Linked DNA regions of Oryctolagus cuniculus. The protein of the gene in region 3 binds, or shares a complex with, the protein of the main gene of each other region. Links are inferred from orthologs where the notes say so. Each region holds a gene or a part of one and is shown on either strand. Other genes may lie near its edges.

What was found.
Region 1: the proteins of GNAI1 (region 3) and GALR1 are in contact, whole or in part, in a cryo-EM structure (PDB 7WQ3), measured with the Homo sapiens proteins. The link is inferred for Oryctolagus cuniculus from reciprocal best matches to the Homo sapiens genes GNAI1 and GALR1. Residues at the interface, in NP_002060.4 of Homo sapiens: Lys192, Leu194, Lys314, Asp315, Thr316, Lys317, Glu318, Tyr320, Phe336, Thr340, Asp341, Ile343, Ile344, Lys345, Asn347, Leu348, Lys349, Asp350, Cys351, Gly352, Leu353, Phe354; in NP_001471.2 of Homo sapiens: Thr70, Arg133, Ala136, Ile137, Ser140, Arg141, Ser143, Val223, Leu227, Lys230, Leu231, Asn233, Ser235, Lys236, Lys237, Ser238, Ser241, Lys244, Thr245, Thr248, Leu306, Ser307, Glu308, Asn309.
Region 2: the proteins of GNAI1 (region 3) and HTR1A are in contact, whole or in part, in a cryo-EM structure (PDB 8PKM), measured with the Homo sapiens proteins. The link is inferred for Oryctolagus cuniculus from reciprocal best matches to the Homo sapiens genes GNAI1 and HTR1A. Residues at the interface, in NP_002060.4 of Homo sapiens: Arg32, Lys192, Asp193, Leu194, Lys314, Asp315, Glu318, Phe336, Thr340, Asp341, Ile343, Ile344, Lys345, Asn347, Leu348, Asp350, Cys351, Gly352, Leu353, Phe354; in NP_000515.2 of Homo sapiens: Arg134, Ala137, Ile138, Pro141, Ile142, Tyr144, Val145, Asn146, Ile218, Ala222, Arg225, Ile226, Lys228, Thr229, Met335, Arg339, Lys342, Thr343, Thr346, Leu347, Asn404.

Annotation. Positions count from the first base shown.
Region 1 is NC_091441.1:2,136,842-2,141,794, reverse strand, and holds the start of GALR1 (galanin receptor type 1), read left to right. Parts: upstream 1-1,746; 5' UTR 1,747-2,377; coding exon 2,378-3,043; intron 3,044-4,953. UniProt on the Homo sapiens protein: Receptor for the hormone galanin. The activity of this receptor is mediated by G proteins that inhibit adenylate cyclase activity.
Region 2 is NC_091445.1:84,850,591-84,854,290, forward strand, and holds HTR1A (5-hydroxytryptamine receptor 1A), read right to left. Parts: upstream 2,177-3,700; coding exon 908-2,176; downstream 1-907. UniProt on the Homo sapiens protein: G-protein coupled receptor for 5-hydroxytryptamine (serotonin). Also functions as a receptor for various drugs and psychoactive substances.
Region 3 is NC_091434.1:144,919,676-144,924,055, reverse strand, and holds the end of GNAI1 (guanine nucleotide-binding protein G(i) subunit alpha-1), read right to left. Parts: intron 2,862-4,380; coding exon 2,671-2,861; 3' UTR 699-2,670; downstream 1-698. UniProt on the Homo sapiens protein: Guanine nucleotide-binding proteins (G proteins) function as transducers downstream of G protein-coupled receptors (GPCRs) in numerous signaling cascades.

The sequences.
Region 1 (4,953 bases), on a different chromosome or scaffold from region 3:
AGGCCGGGAGGTCTGGAATTCCTTCTGCGTCTCCCACGTGGGCAGCATGTTCCCAGAACTTCCAGTCAGGCTAAGATCATTCTTTATATTGCTTCTCCTCCTGTGGTGGGAGAAGGGAGGAGACAGAGCGAGAGAGTGAACAAGAGAGCACACAGCGTAGAAAACAGAGCACAGAACAAAATGCTGAAAGTCAATCCAGAAACCCATACAGAGTAGCAATATCAATAAGTAGAAGTGTGTGAAATTCACCCGTGTGAAAACTAGAGATTGCTGGCTGGATTCTCAAGTAATTTGGTCCTGTGTTCCTTTGAAGCGGTGCCCTGCATCACAGGGCATGGAAGTGACAGGCACTGTCCGTGCATCTACAGTGCCACGACAGCCTCACAGGCCAGACCAGAACAAAACTTGTCACGTCACTGAGCACAGCACACTGAGACAAAGAACAAGCAGCCAACCACTCAGACCCACCAGTCTGTCTAAGAGCCTGTGTGTATGCCACGAATGCATGAAGCAGCAGCAGGTGTGTGACCCCTGAGACCGCCTGGAGATGGCTGAGGGGACGGGAGGTGGAGAAAAGTGACCTCAGTTCTACTGGTCATCGTTTACTCCTCTAAGCTAGGTGGTGGGCCTGCGGGTATTTGATATGATTCCAACATACCTGTTCCATGCCAGAAACGGTTCATATAAATCTTTCCCTGTGCCACACGACGTGACTTTCCGTGCAGCAGAGCCGTCCAACACCTGGCACCAGGCAAGGCAGGGACCCAAAACAGCCCTGACAGGCAGCCCCACTTCCGGAGTTTTTTCAGGTGTCCTTCGGGGCGGGGCAGGTGAGGGCACTGCAATGAGCAGGCCTATCCAGTTTGTCCCCTGGAAAACGTGCGTCAGCAGTGCCAGACCCTTTGCAGGTCCGGCGTGGGACCACAGCGTTGGGGGAGCTGCAGCAGCCTTCCCAGTGCCAGGGAGAACGGCGCGGCAGAGCTGCAGACAGCTCGGGCACTGCACAGACCCCCGCGGGCCCCAGGGCTCCCCGGATCTAAGCCCTAAATCTGCCTCCCGCAGTGCGGCGCCCCCTCCCCTTTGCGCTGTCCCTGCTCTCGGGCCGCGCGTGGTGCCCGCTGTGGCGGCGGAGTCATCATCAGGAGAATGCACTGTGGTGTGTTTGAAAGATGCACACACACGACGCAAACATCACAGAAAGTCAATTTCCGCTCTTCAGCTGGGAACCTCCGGGATGACAAACCCACGTTCGCCAGCGCAACTGTGCCTGGCTCCATCCCTGCCGTGTGTCCAGCTTGCAGCAGGCAGGGACAGGACGTGCGCACGGTTCGGTCAGCGCCCAGAGGAGGAACGCAAGGCCTGGAGTTGGAACGCTAAACCTTCCTCCCAATGCTTTCTTCTCCCTGCTGTTGGCGGGGGAGGTTGGGGGCGCTTGGGGTTTGTATCGGCGGGCAGGAAGTGCCAGCTGCCCGCTGCCCGGGAGACACTGAGCGATGAGGCAGCCTGCGCGCCCCAGCGCCTCCCCGTCCAGCGCGCCCTGGAGCGCGCTCCGCGGCCCTCGCCAGGAGCCGGGGCCGCATCCTGCAGCCGCTACCATCCTCAGACCCCAGCAGACCCGCACCCAGTGCAGGCGCGCGCGCGCGGGTTGTAGCAAGGAGGTGGGCGGCGACCCTTCCTGTTAGGATTCGCCGTCTCCGCTCGCACGCCGACTTCCGGGGGTACGCAGGGGGCCCCCAGGGGGCGCAGATTAAAGCCGGGTTAAGTCTTCGCCGCTCCCACCCGGCCCTGCCCACCACTAGGGAGCTCAGAAAGCGCTCTCGCCCTGTGCGCTACTTGGAATCCCAGCAAGACCTGCGAGGGAGTCGGAGGCGCACGCAGCTGGGGAGGTGGCGCCGAGCGCACGGGAAGCGCCGCGAACCCTCTCCGCGAGCCCCACCCTTGGTGCGCTGCGCTCCCGGCCCTGCCCCGGGTGCGCTTTGGGGAGGAGCGGCTCTGGGCAACAGGTGCAGCCGGAGCCGGTCGGCAGCACGGGTCTGGAGCCGCTAAGGCGCCGAGAGGACTTTCACCTGCAGGGCTGCAGCCGGCGGGTCCCGGGGTCGGCGGCCGCGCGGCGGTCGTAGACGCGGGGCCAGGAAGACGCCTGTGCTCCCCGCCGGACAAGAGCCAGCTCCGCGCCCCCGCGCCGGCTGTCCAACGCCCGGCACGAAGACTGCGCTGCCAGGCGCGGCTGCCCCGCCGCGGCGCCCGCTCTCCTGCGCATCGGCGGAGGCTCCGGTGGAAACTCGCGCGCTGGCACTCGGGGCGGGACCCCCGGCGCCGGCTGCCCGTGGCAGACAGCCTGCCCCGCCACCCCGCGTCCCGGGCGCCCCCGCGGGCCATGGAGCTGGCTGCAGGGAACCTCAGCGAGGGTAACGCGAGCTGGCCCGAGCCGCCCGCCGCCGAGCCCCGGCCGCTGCTGGGCGTCGGCGTGGAGAACTTGGTCACGCTGGTGGTGTTCGGCCTCATCTTCGCGCTGGGCGTGCTGGGCAACAGCCTGGTGATCACGGTGCTGGCGCGCAGCGCGCCGGGCAAGGCGCGCAGCACCACCAACCTGTTCATCCTCAACCTGAGTATCGCCGACCTGGCCTACCTGCTCTTCTGCATCCCCTTCCAGGCCACCGTGTACGCGCTGCCCACCTGGGTGCTGGGCGCCTTCATCTGCAAGTTCATCCACTTCTTCTTCACCGTCTCCATGCTGGTCAGCATCTTCACGCTGGCCGCGATGTCGGTGGACCGCTACGTGGCCATCGTGCACTCCCGGCGCTCCTCTTCCCTGAGGGTGTCCCGCAACGCGCTGCTGGGCGTGGGCCTCATCTGGGCGCTGTCCATCGCCATGGCCTCGCCCGTGGCGTACCACCAGCGCCTCTTCCACCGCGGCGCCGCCAACCTGACCTTCTGCTGGGAGCACTGGCCCGACCCGCGCCACAAGAAGGCGTACGTGGTGTGCACCTTCGTCTTCGGCTACCTGCTGCCGCTGCTGCTCATCTGCTTCTGCTACGCCAAGGTGGGGCGCGCGGGACCGAGGGCGCGGGGCCGGGGGTGCCCCGGGAGTCGCGTTGTGTCCGCAGCCCCCGCCCGCGGGCCCGCGCGGCCTGGCGGTGTCCGGCGGACGCCGCTCTGCCTTTGCCTCTGCGGGCGCCCTAGCGTTGGAGGCGGCGCAAGGGTTCGCGGAGTTTGCGGTGCTGGGGAAGTTCGCGGGTCGCCAGTTGACTCCGGGAGGGACGTTCCCCGTTCTCGAGCCCTAGGCCCCCGCGGCCCTGGGAGTCCGAGCGCAGCCCGCGCGGCCGGCGAGAGAGCCGCTCTGGTGGCGCAACTGGGATGCGGGAGCAGCCGGTGCCACTGAGCGCGGCGCTGCTGGGCGCGGGGTCCATCGGAGCGCGTCGGGCCCGCCGCCCCCTCCCTGTGCTGGTTGCGCTGGGTAGAGAGGGGGCGCCCGCCGGGAGCTCCCTCCAGGACCGGCTCTGGGAAGCCGCTGCTCCTGGGAGAACGGAGCTTTGCGGTAGTCAGCCCCGGTGGGAAGACGGCATTTCCTGTGGTCCCCGGGGCCGCGTAGAACCCCTGCCTTCCGCGTTTCCACAGCTGAATCCCCGACCCTGGGGGGAGGCTCCCGGGAACACAGCGCCCTCGGCCGCGCCTTAGCCCGCGCCCCAGCTGCTGGAAGGCAGTTCTCCTTTCCCTCCGCTTACTCAGAGGACCTGAGGACTTCTGCATTGACCTGTGACACGACCGGTCCATGTCTGCGTCAAGAGGCATGTGTGTTGAGTGAGGATGGTGTTTGTGGGGTGCACGCCAGTGTGCACACACAGCCCCCCTATACCCTCAGCGCTAGACAGACAGCTCCCCAAATTCTGAAATTTCTGCCCACGCTCCGCCCTGTCGGTCTGGCCCCCTGTTTCTGGGAAGGCTGAGGCGACAGGACCCTGAACAGCACAGGGGGCGGAAGGAAGACGCTGGCTTAGAATCGGTTCCCAGGGCATTCTCCCCCCCCCCCCCCCCAAAAAAAAAAAAACCCTCTCGCCATAAGCCTGCTGGTGTTGTTCCTCCTCTCTGTGCCATCCAGGTGGGCTACGTCTCCTGCGAGTGGCAGTGTTTTTTGATGTCACCCGAAGGTTCTGTGAACAGATGTGCTGGGGAGGTAGGGGATTCAGAAATGGCCCCTAGCCTGGCCGTTGGGAGAAGGCTGACTCATTCATGAGTCTGGGAATGCAACCCAGAGGCTGGTCCCCCAGCGCAGCTGTCCCTGTGTGCCGTCTCACTCGCCTCGCACACCCCGTGGGTGCCGGCTGCTGTCCCCTCCGCAGTGACGAGAGGAGTGGAGGCCCCGGGGGCCAAGCTGGAGATGGTTCCGGAAGGCTTTTCAGCAGGGGTGCCCAGGGGCATGGAGGAGGGGCAGACAGTGGGGGCCTTGTGGGCATGGAGCTTGAGACCAGGGGGACACTTAAAATGCTGCCTTCCGGGTTCCTAGCTTCCTGCCTTAGACCCAAAGCGAGCGCTTCCCTCACTCCCCCAGAGGCCTGGGGGAACTTGCTCAAATCCTGCTGGTGGAAGTGACAGGGTCAATCTTCAGGGCTAAACTGGCCATCTTGCTGTTGTTTGAGAGCTTGTAAAACTCGGAGGGCAGAGTTTAAAAAACGTTTTTAAATACTCAGTCATTTGCAGATTTTCTCTGGAAATTGCTTGCTTCTAAGTGGAAAAGCCTTCTGAATTTGAAGTAGTATTTGCAAGCCCCTTCCAGGGCAGTGTGAACAGGTGGAGGTGTGTGGCCTGCAGTGCTCCCTTGGGTCAGCCGGTGGTGCTTAGCACCTGCGGATCTCGTTCTTGAGGGGCAGGTTCGGGCCTGGCTGAAAGGGGTTGCTTCCAGAGGTGCTCTGTGCTCCCCAGACCCTGCTGGTTTCCAGTGGAACAGCTCCGGCA
Region 2 (3,700 bases), on a different chromosome or scaffold from region 3:
AGTAGCTAAGAGGCCACGCCTGCGTGTGCAGACTCGCCAGCAACCTATAAATTCCCAAGTCCACCTTCGTCGTTGCGTGATTGTCGGTTTCTTTGGTGAGTGCTGACACCCAGGTAAACACGGACAAAATGGTCCACACTCTGTCCTCGTTCTCCCCCACTGGCCCGGCCGCGTACTTACAAGTGCAATCTAAGACACACCTGCTGGGCCCTTGTTTGCAGTCCAAGAACACAGAGCAAGCAGGGACAGTGCACAGCAGTCTATACTGGGCGGCGGAGATCCCCAGGGCACCGCTGACACAGCGGAAAACAGACCTTCCCAGATTTCTGGACCAGAGGATCAGGGCATGCAAGGGACCAGACGCTTAAGGTCAGATAAGAAGGCCGGGGGGAGGAAGAGGAGAGGGAGACACACAGAGTGGATATTTCTAGGGGAAGAGGGCTGGAGAGATGGATCGAAATCCTTATCCTTAAATGCAAGCACTAGAAGCTCGGCGTCAGGTGGAAGCTGTTAGTGGACCCAGCAGCTGTAGGCAGTTTTTTGTTGTTATTGTTGCTGCTTGTTTAGTTTTCTAATTGGACTTTCTACCTTGAATACCTGGGGCTTAAGCTTCCACCTCGCAGATCCGGGGGACAGAATTTGAAGGCAGCAATTGCTGGAATCAAAAGTGCTGCTGAGGCCGCAGACTGAGACACCGTTGCTTCTCACAGACCTTGGGGCTTCTCTGCACACAGCGCTCTCCCTGGGAGCAGGGGCTTGGGAGGGGGCGACGTCTGGAAGCCTTGGGCGCAGCAGAAAAGTTCCAGGAAAAGTAGCAAGTTATCTTAGGCGATGGTTCCAGGGGCTGGGGGAGCAGGCTACATGGAGTGGGTCCTACAACCCCTACTCGCCGGCTACACCTTCAGCATCATCGGCGGCAGAACTTGCACTTGATAATCTTCTTAAACGCGTTTTGAAAGTCCTTGTTGAAGTAGGCATAAATGACAGGGTTGAGCAGAGAGTTGGAGTAGCCCAGCCAGTTGATGATGGCGCCCAACAGCGTGGGCATGTGGCAGCTGCTCTCGCAGAAGGGCAGGACCAGGGCCACTATGAAGAAGGGCAGCCAGCAGAGGATAAACGTGCCCATGATGATGCCCAGTGTCTTCACCGTCTTCCTCTCACGGGCCAGGGCCATTTTGCGCTTGGCTTCGGCATTGCGCTCATTTTTCCGCTCAAAGGAGGCAGGGGCACCGGCGGCGGCACCCGCCTCGCTAGGAAGCGGCAGGTGCTCCTTGGAGTTGCCCACCCGGTGCACCTCGATCACCTCCAGGGCGGCGCCATCGTCGCCCTGTCTCACCGCGCCGTTGGCGCACGCAAGCCCCACACCCTTGTTCTCCACGCCCTGCCTCCAGTCTCTGCTCCCTGGCTCTCCGTTCACGCTCTTTCTGGGTTGTGGGGCCGGCGAAGCTCCAAAACGGGTGTCTGCGCCTTTCTTCTCCACCTTCTTGACAGTTTTGCGGATGCGGAAGCGCGCGGCGCGAAAGATGCGCCCGTAGAGGACCAGCATGAGCAGCAGCGGGATATAGAAAGCGCCGAAAGTGGAGTAGATGGTGTAGCCGTGGTCCTTGCTGATGGTGCACGCGTCAGGGTCGGAGCGGTCTTCCGGGGTGCGCCAGCCCAGCATGGGCGGGATGGAGATGAGGAAGCCAATGAGCCAAGTGAGCGAGATGAGCGCGGCGGCACGCCGGGGCGTCCTCTTGTTCACGTAGTCGATGGGGTCCGTGATGGCCCAGTACCTGTCCAGTGCGATGGCGCACAGGTGCAGGATGGATGAAGTGCAGCACAGCACGTCGAGGGCGATGAACAGGTCGCAGGTGACCTGGCCCAGAGTCCACTTGTTGAGCACCTGGTACAGCGCGGCCATGGGGAGCACCAGCACGGACACCATGAGGTCGGTGACCGCCAGAGAGCCGATGAGATAGTTGGCCACGTTCTGGAGGGAGCGCTCCAGGGCGATGGCAGCCACCACGCACGCATTGCCCAGCACCGCGCAGAAGATGAGCGTGCCCAGCAGCAGGGAGGTGATTACTTGGTAGCTGAAGGTCACGTCGGAGATGCCAGTGGCGTTGCCGCCTGTCCCGAGGGGACCCTGGGACGACGTCGTGTTGTTGCCCCGGCCGGGACTGAGCACATCCATGCCTGCCTGCGCGCCCGGCGGGGGGAGGGGGAGGGGAGACGGAGCCGCGAGAGGATCCCCCTCGCCCCTCCCCCGGGGGTCTTCCGCCCCTTCTCCCGGGGAGCTTCCGAGGAAGGGGAGGCAGGGACTCCGGCGGGAAGTTCTTACTGCTCTGGCGAAGGCATCTCTCAGTAGCAGCTTGCAGGCGCTCGGTGCGCTCCCGCGGTCCAGGGCGCTCAGAGGCTCCAGCGGGGCAACTGGAGTTGGCCCGAGAGCAGCTGCGGAATCTGCGGGCGGCGCAGAGGTGGCTTGGGCGTCAGTCTCTCGCTGTCCATTTTACTTTGTCGCTGCCCAACTGGCTGCCGGAGCCGGAGTCTCCCCACTAGCAAACAGTCTCCAATCCCAGAAGTATCTGGAATAGAGGAGCCCCATCGTCCCAGGCGCTGGCTCTGTGACCCTCCCTCCTGCGTCCCTCTCTGCCTCCCTCTCACTCTCTCCTCCCTTCTCTTCTGGGTCCCTTCAGCCTCCTCCTCCTCCCTTCTCCCCGCTACCTTCCTTTTCGGCCTCCCTCCTCCCTCTCACCTCCTTTTCTTTATCCCTGTGTGTCGCTCCACAGCCGGTCTCCCTCCCTCCCACGCTAGCCCTCCCCTCCGAAAACCTCCCCAACCTGGGCGCCTTTTCCCTCTGGGTCCCCGCCCTCCTCTCCTTCTATCCCGGCGTCCTTTCACTGACTCCCTTTCTGCCAACAGAGACTCAGAATTCGTTTGCACACACCCTATCCGCCAGACCAGCGTTGTAACAAGTAAACTCCGCCCCCCACCCAGCCAAACTCGAGAGGAGGAAAAACTCTCCCCCCCCCCCTTCTAACTATCCATTGCCTCTTATCTCTGTCAAATCCTTAAAATCAGCACCACAGCGTGGCTGTAGGATATAAGGCAAAGGGATACACGACGCCGGAGAGGAAAGGTGGACAGCCCCAGGTCCCTCTGTAAATGATCCTTACTTGATTAAAAGACGGAGTGTGTCCTAGCTGTTTAAAAGTCACCTCCTTCCATCCTCTAATAGTCCAGCCTGACTCCTTACGGACGAATGGTGCCTATGACTCCCTTCTCTTTTTTAACGTTGGGGAATTAAGGGAGAACGGAATTATAAAAGTCATGTTAAAATACAAGGACAGGCAAACAGCTGTGAGGGGAGGAATCACACCTCGGTATGTATTCTACACACAAGCCCACACAATTTTCTGTCACTATTGTCCTTTTAATTTTAGTGAATGCTGCCACGTCTGATAGTTTTGAAGTGGGAAAATTCAGAGCAGGAAACATTTTGCCTATTTGTTGGAAATGACGTCCTGTATTCCATCGGGACTTTTTCACTTTTAACTGAAGCCCGCAAACCTGTACGGCGAACTTGGAATCCCCGGTGGCTAGCCCCTGAGCTTCTCTCAATAGCTGAAACTGGTTCAGCACCTGGGACAGCTCAACGCAATAAGGGCTTATGTCGCCACCTGCCGGCGAGTGCTTTAGAGAGCCTTGTAGAAACAAT
Region 3 (4,380 bases):
GAAAGGAGTGCAGGAGCAGTGGGCTCAGGTGACAAAGAGCCTTGAATGGGAGGGAGGCTGAGTTATATTTAATTGTATTGACAGCTTCAGTGAAGGTCAAAGAAAGGAAGGCAACACAACCACAGATCTATATTAAGACAGTCAACCTAGATGAGAGGCAGGAGCAACGGGAGGTGGGGATTCAATGACTCAAGCATTTCAGATGGAAGTTCAGCAAAGACCCCAATTCAGTAGGTAGTAGTGGGGATAGAATGGAAGGTGAAACAAAACCAAAACACAGATGTGAGGTACGGGAAAAGCCTGAGTACCAACAGAGACAGAGAAGAGGAATAGGAAGGGTTCTGTCTGGCTGAAGTATTCTCCACTGAGTACCAAATGGGGATGGTTGGTCCTTAGTAGCTAAAAGCGCAGAGTCAGAGACGAGAACAGGCTTCCGGGGGGATGAGGATGGATTTGGTTTTGGGCATGAGGAGTCGGAACATATGATGAATTTTCTGAAGGGGATATGAAGCAGGCAATTCCAAACAGGGCATCCACCTAATGATAAAACTTGGGGGGAAACTCAAGCTTCTGGAGTAGATGAAGCTGAAAAAAAAAAAAAAACCCAAAAACAAACAAACCACAAACACAGAGAAAGACGAAATGATGATACGATAGACAAATACTTAATTCTAATGCAAAATGCGCTTAGTCAACAGTTTGTAAAATTTTAAAAATTTAAATTTATTAGGATTTATTAGTAACACAATTACACAGAATAAAGTTTAGGAATTCATCAATGATGGTCAACAATATGTGCTTCTTGGTGGCTTTTTAAACCATATTTCTTATTATTCAAATTTATTCAGGTTTTAGTTAAATTTTAGGTACACAGCTTCACAATGCGGACATTACAGGTCTCCCATCAATAAAAGTAATGAAAACATTTTTCATGAAAGGCACATAAAGAATCTAAACTAACACATGTAAGAAATTTCAATAACTCTGAAATTCTTTACATTACAAAGAAGAAAAACAGAATCCCTAAAATGAAAAGAGATACAAACATGGTTTGTGGCTACCCAGACATACACATACACACACACTTCAACAACTATTCTTCAGGAAAATGACAACACAAAACTGAACTTCAACAAAACAACAACACATAATCAAACCGAGAAGCCACTTACCAACGAAGCTTGTTGAAAGACTAGTTTTTCCCAAGATGAATAAAAAAGAGGGAGGTGGGATGAGGAAGGCTTTTCATTTCACTGAAACAAGGTCACAGAGACACACTAACAGGAACCCTAGAAAAGGATCCCATCAAGTTCACGATCTAGCTGATAAGCAACACTTAATTTGAGCATACACATAATCACTGACGTTTAAATACGATTACTCATTTTCTAAGTGCCATTGTCCATTTCTTCTTCAGAAATAAGAGCATAATTTAAAAAGAAATAATATGAACTCAAGCAAATGGAGGAAATTTGAGTATCCAAAAAGCAAAACGTAGCTTTAATGTAGTGTGATAACTGAATTTGAAACCTGTTTCGTAAGTGAATTTGAAGCAGTAGGATAAAGATCTTTCTTGTTAACCTCTAAGGAGGAACTATCATGAATGCTAGGTACAAGGGATTTCCCAAAGGAAATACACAAATGAATGCTTCAAAATTCATTTTGCTGACTTTTTTTTAACCCACAAAAATGCTCTCAACATCTCCACCTAAACTTAGTTATAAATAAAAGTGTAGTTATTTCAAGAGTATAAAAATTAATCAGGCATCACCTTTAAGGCAATGCATTGAACACCATCCAAATATTAAAATTCAAAGTGAAAGCAAACTAATGAATAAAAACTAGGTGTTTAGAATATGCTTAAGATTGTATATCCTCAAAAACTTAAAATTTTAGTTATTTGAACCAGATCTAATGTAGAATCAAAGCAGCATGCACTCTTCAAATTAAGAAAAAAAAAAAAGACAATCCATACAGTGTTTAAATAAGTGATCCAAAAGCAGGTATATTCATCCTCTTTAAGAACATTTCAATAAAACACAGTAAATTTAAAGAACAAATTATGTTATTAAAATAGTCTGTGCAATGTTTGTACAAATAACATTTTTATGAATACAAGTATACATATAATCAGGGTAAGGGCTGCAATGTTTCCTAATATTAATTGCTGCACTTAAAAATCTGTAAGACAGGAACATAAATAAAGCTCTTCAAAACTGGCAAACACAGTAATAGTCTGTCATTCAGTACAAGGTACTTGATATTTATGGTATTTTCAAAGCCATCACACTAGAATTGCAAGTTACCACTCTTAAAACCTAATAGTTATGTGGAAAATTAAAGTTATAAATACATGTGTACATACATTTGCATATTTACACTTAGACATAGAAGTCACCGATATTCTAGAGCCCAGCTTTAACACTGCCCTTCAGCTTCCCACTGCAGGACCATCTTACACACTTAAGAAAGGTCCTTCTGTTACTTTCAGTTAAAAACAAAACGAAACAAAACAAAAACAAAACAAAACAAAAAAAACAGAGTAACTTTGGTGAGGTACCGGATGCATCTGCCATACCCTACATTCTCTGCTGCTGTAAGACTCTAGTCTAGAGATCCGTATAAGCACTCATTTGGTTTGAAAATGCAATTTACCATTCACTGCAAAACTTAGAAGAGACCACAATCTTTTAGATTATTTTTTATGATGACATCTGTTACAGCATCAAAAACAAACTGCACATTCTTAGTATCTGTGGCACATGTGAAGTGGGTGTATATTTCCTTTGTGTCCTTTCTTTTATTGAGGTCTTCAAACTGACACTGAATATATGCGGCTGCCTCTTCGTACGTGTTTGATCCTGAAAAAGGAAACAAATAGAACAAATAGAACACGGGAAGTTAAAATAAAGCAAAATAGACCTTAAAATATTGAAGTCAGCTTTATTCATACAAAATATGTGGACTCATTAACTGCATTTTCCCCTTGTACAACAGGACAAATGAAGTCTCACTGGAAAACAACACCTGCAGATGACTTTTTAATGACTGGAAGTCACCCCTAAAATTAAAAAAAGAAAACAAAAAGCCCCTTCATTTGGCCTTCCATGATTACCATGGTCTTTGCTCCTGCCCTAACCCCCAATTGTTGGATGTCCTTTCTCTCCTGCCCACTCTCTTCATCTGCACACTAAACCACTTGCTTGCTTGATGGTGCATGTTACTTCAGTCTAACCCAGAGGTGGATCAATAATGTTGGCTGAACGCTGATAGGTGTTTTTTCATCTTTCCCACATAGAAGTAATAGCATTGCTCCCTCATTTTTCTTTATTCAAAACCTGAACAAGGGTCTATAATGTGGCTTGGGCTATGAGGTTACAAAAAAGTGAATGATACCTCCCGCCTTGCAACCGGTTACTGACTAGACTTGCTCTGAGTACAAACACTCTGGAGACTGCTGGGAAGTATCTACAGATATTCACACACATGCTCGCATCCAGCAGTTCTGTATCTAGGTGTAGAGTGGACAGACCCATGTTGCTGGGTTCACCCAAGGGCATATAAAGCATGTGAACAGCACAAAGCTCAGCATGTTCAGACAATGGGCTGCGATGCAGGACCGCAAAATGAGGGTGGAAGCACCACTGCTGCACACAAGGACAGGGACCACTCGCACACATAGCTTAACAACAACAACAACAAAATGAGTGTAAAAAGAGTGTCTGCTGGATGATCTGCATGCAGAGGAGGGCAGGTGGGGTTGATTCAAGACTGAGAGTTGGCATGGCAGAGCTTCTGGAGTCCCAGAAACATTGCGTTTCTTGACCTGAGTGGTGGAAATCTATGTGTTCTCTTTCTTTTTCTAATTAGTTAATTAAGTTCATTTTATTTGAAAAGCAGAGAGACAGAGAGATCTTCTGTCTACTGGTTCACTTCCCACATGCCTCCAATAGCCAGGATTCGGCCAGGCTGAAGCCAGGAGCCTGGATGTCCATCTGGGTCTCCCAAGTGGGTAGCAGTGACCCAAATACTTGGATCTTCACCAGAGTACACATTACCAAGAAGCTGGGCTGGTAGTGGTGTACTCAGAGCTCAAACCTGGCACTCTTGTTACGGGTTGTAGGTATCGCAAGTGGTGACTTAACTACTGCACAAAATGCCTACCCTGAGACGTTCACTTTTGAAATTTCAATGAGCTTCACCCTGGGGTTGTTTGTAGATATGTGTGTGAGTGTGCATTTTGTGTATGTATCTATGCATGTATCCATAAAACATTATTTTAATAATATACTCATGTGCATAATGTAATAACATATATCTATAAACTACTATGCAATGTTCATTTTGAACAAAACTATATAATTTTTTTCTTGCAGTAAC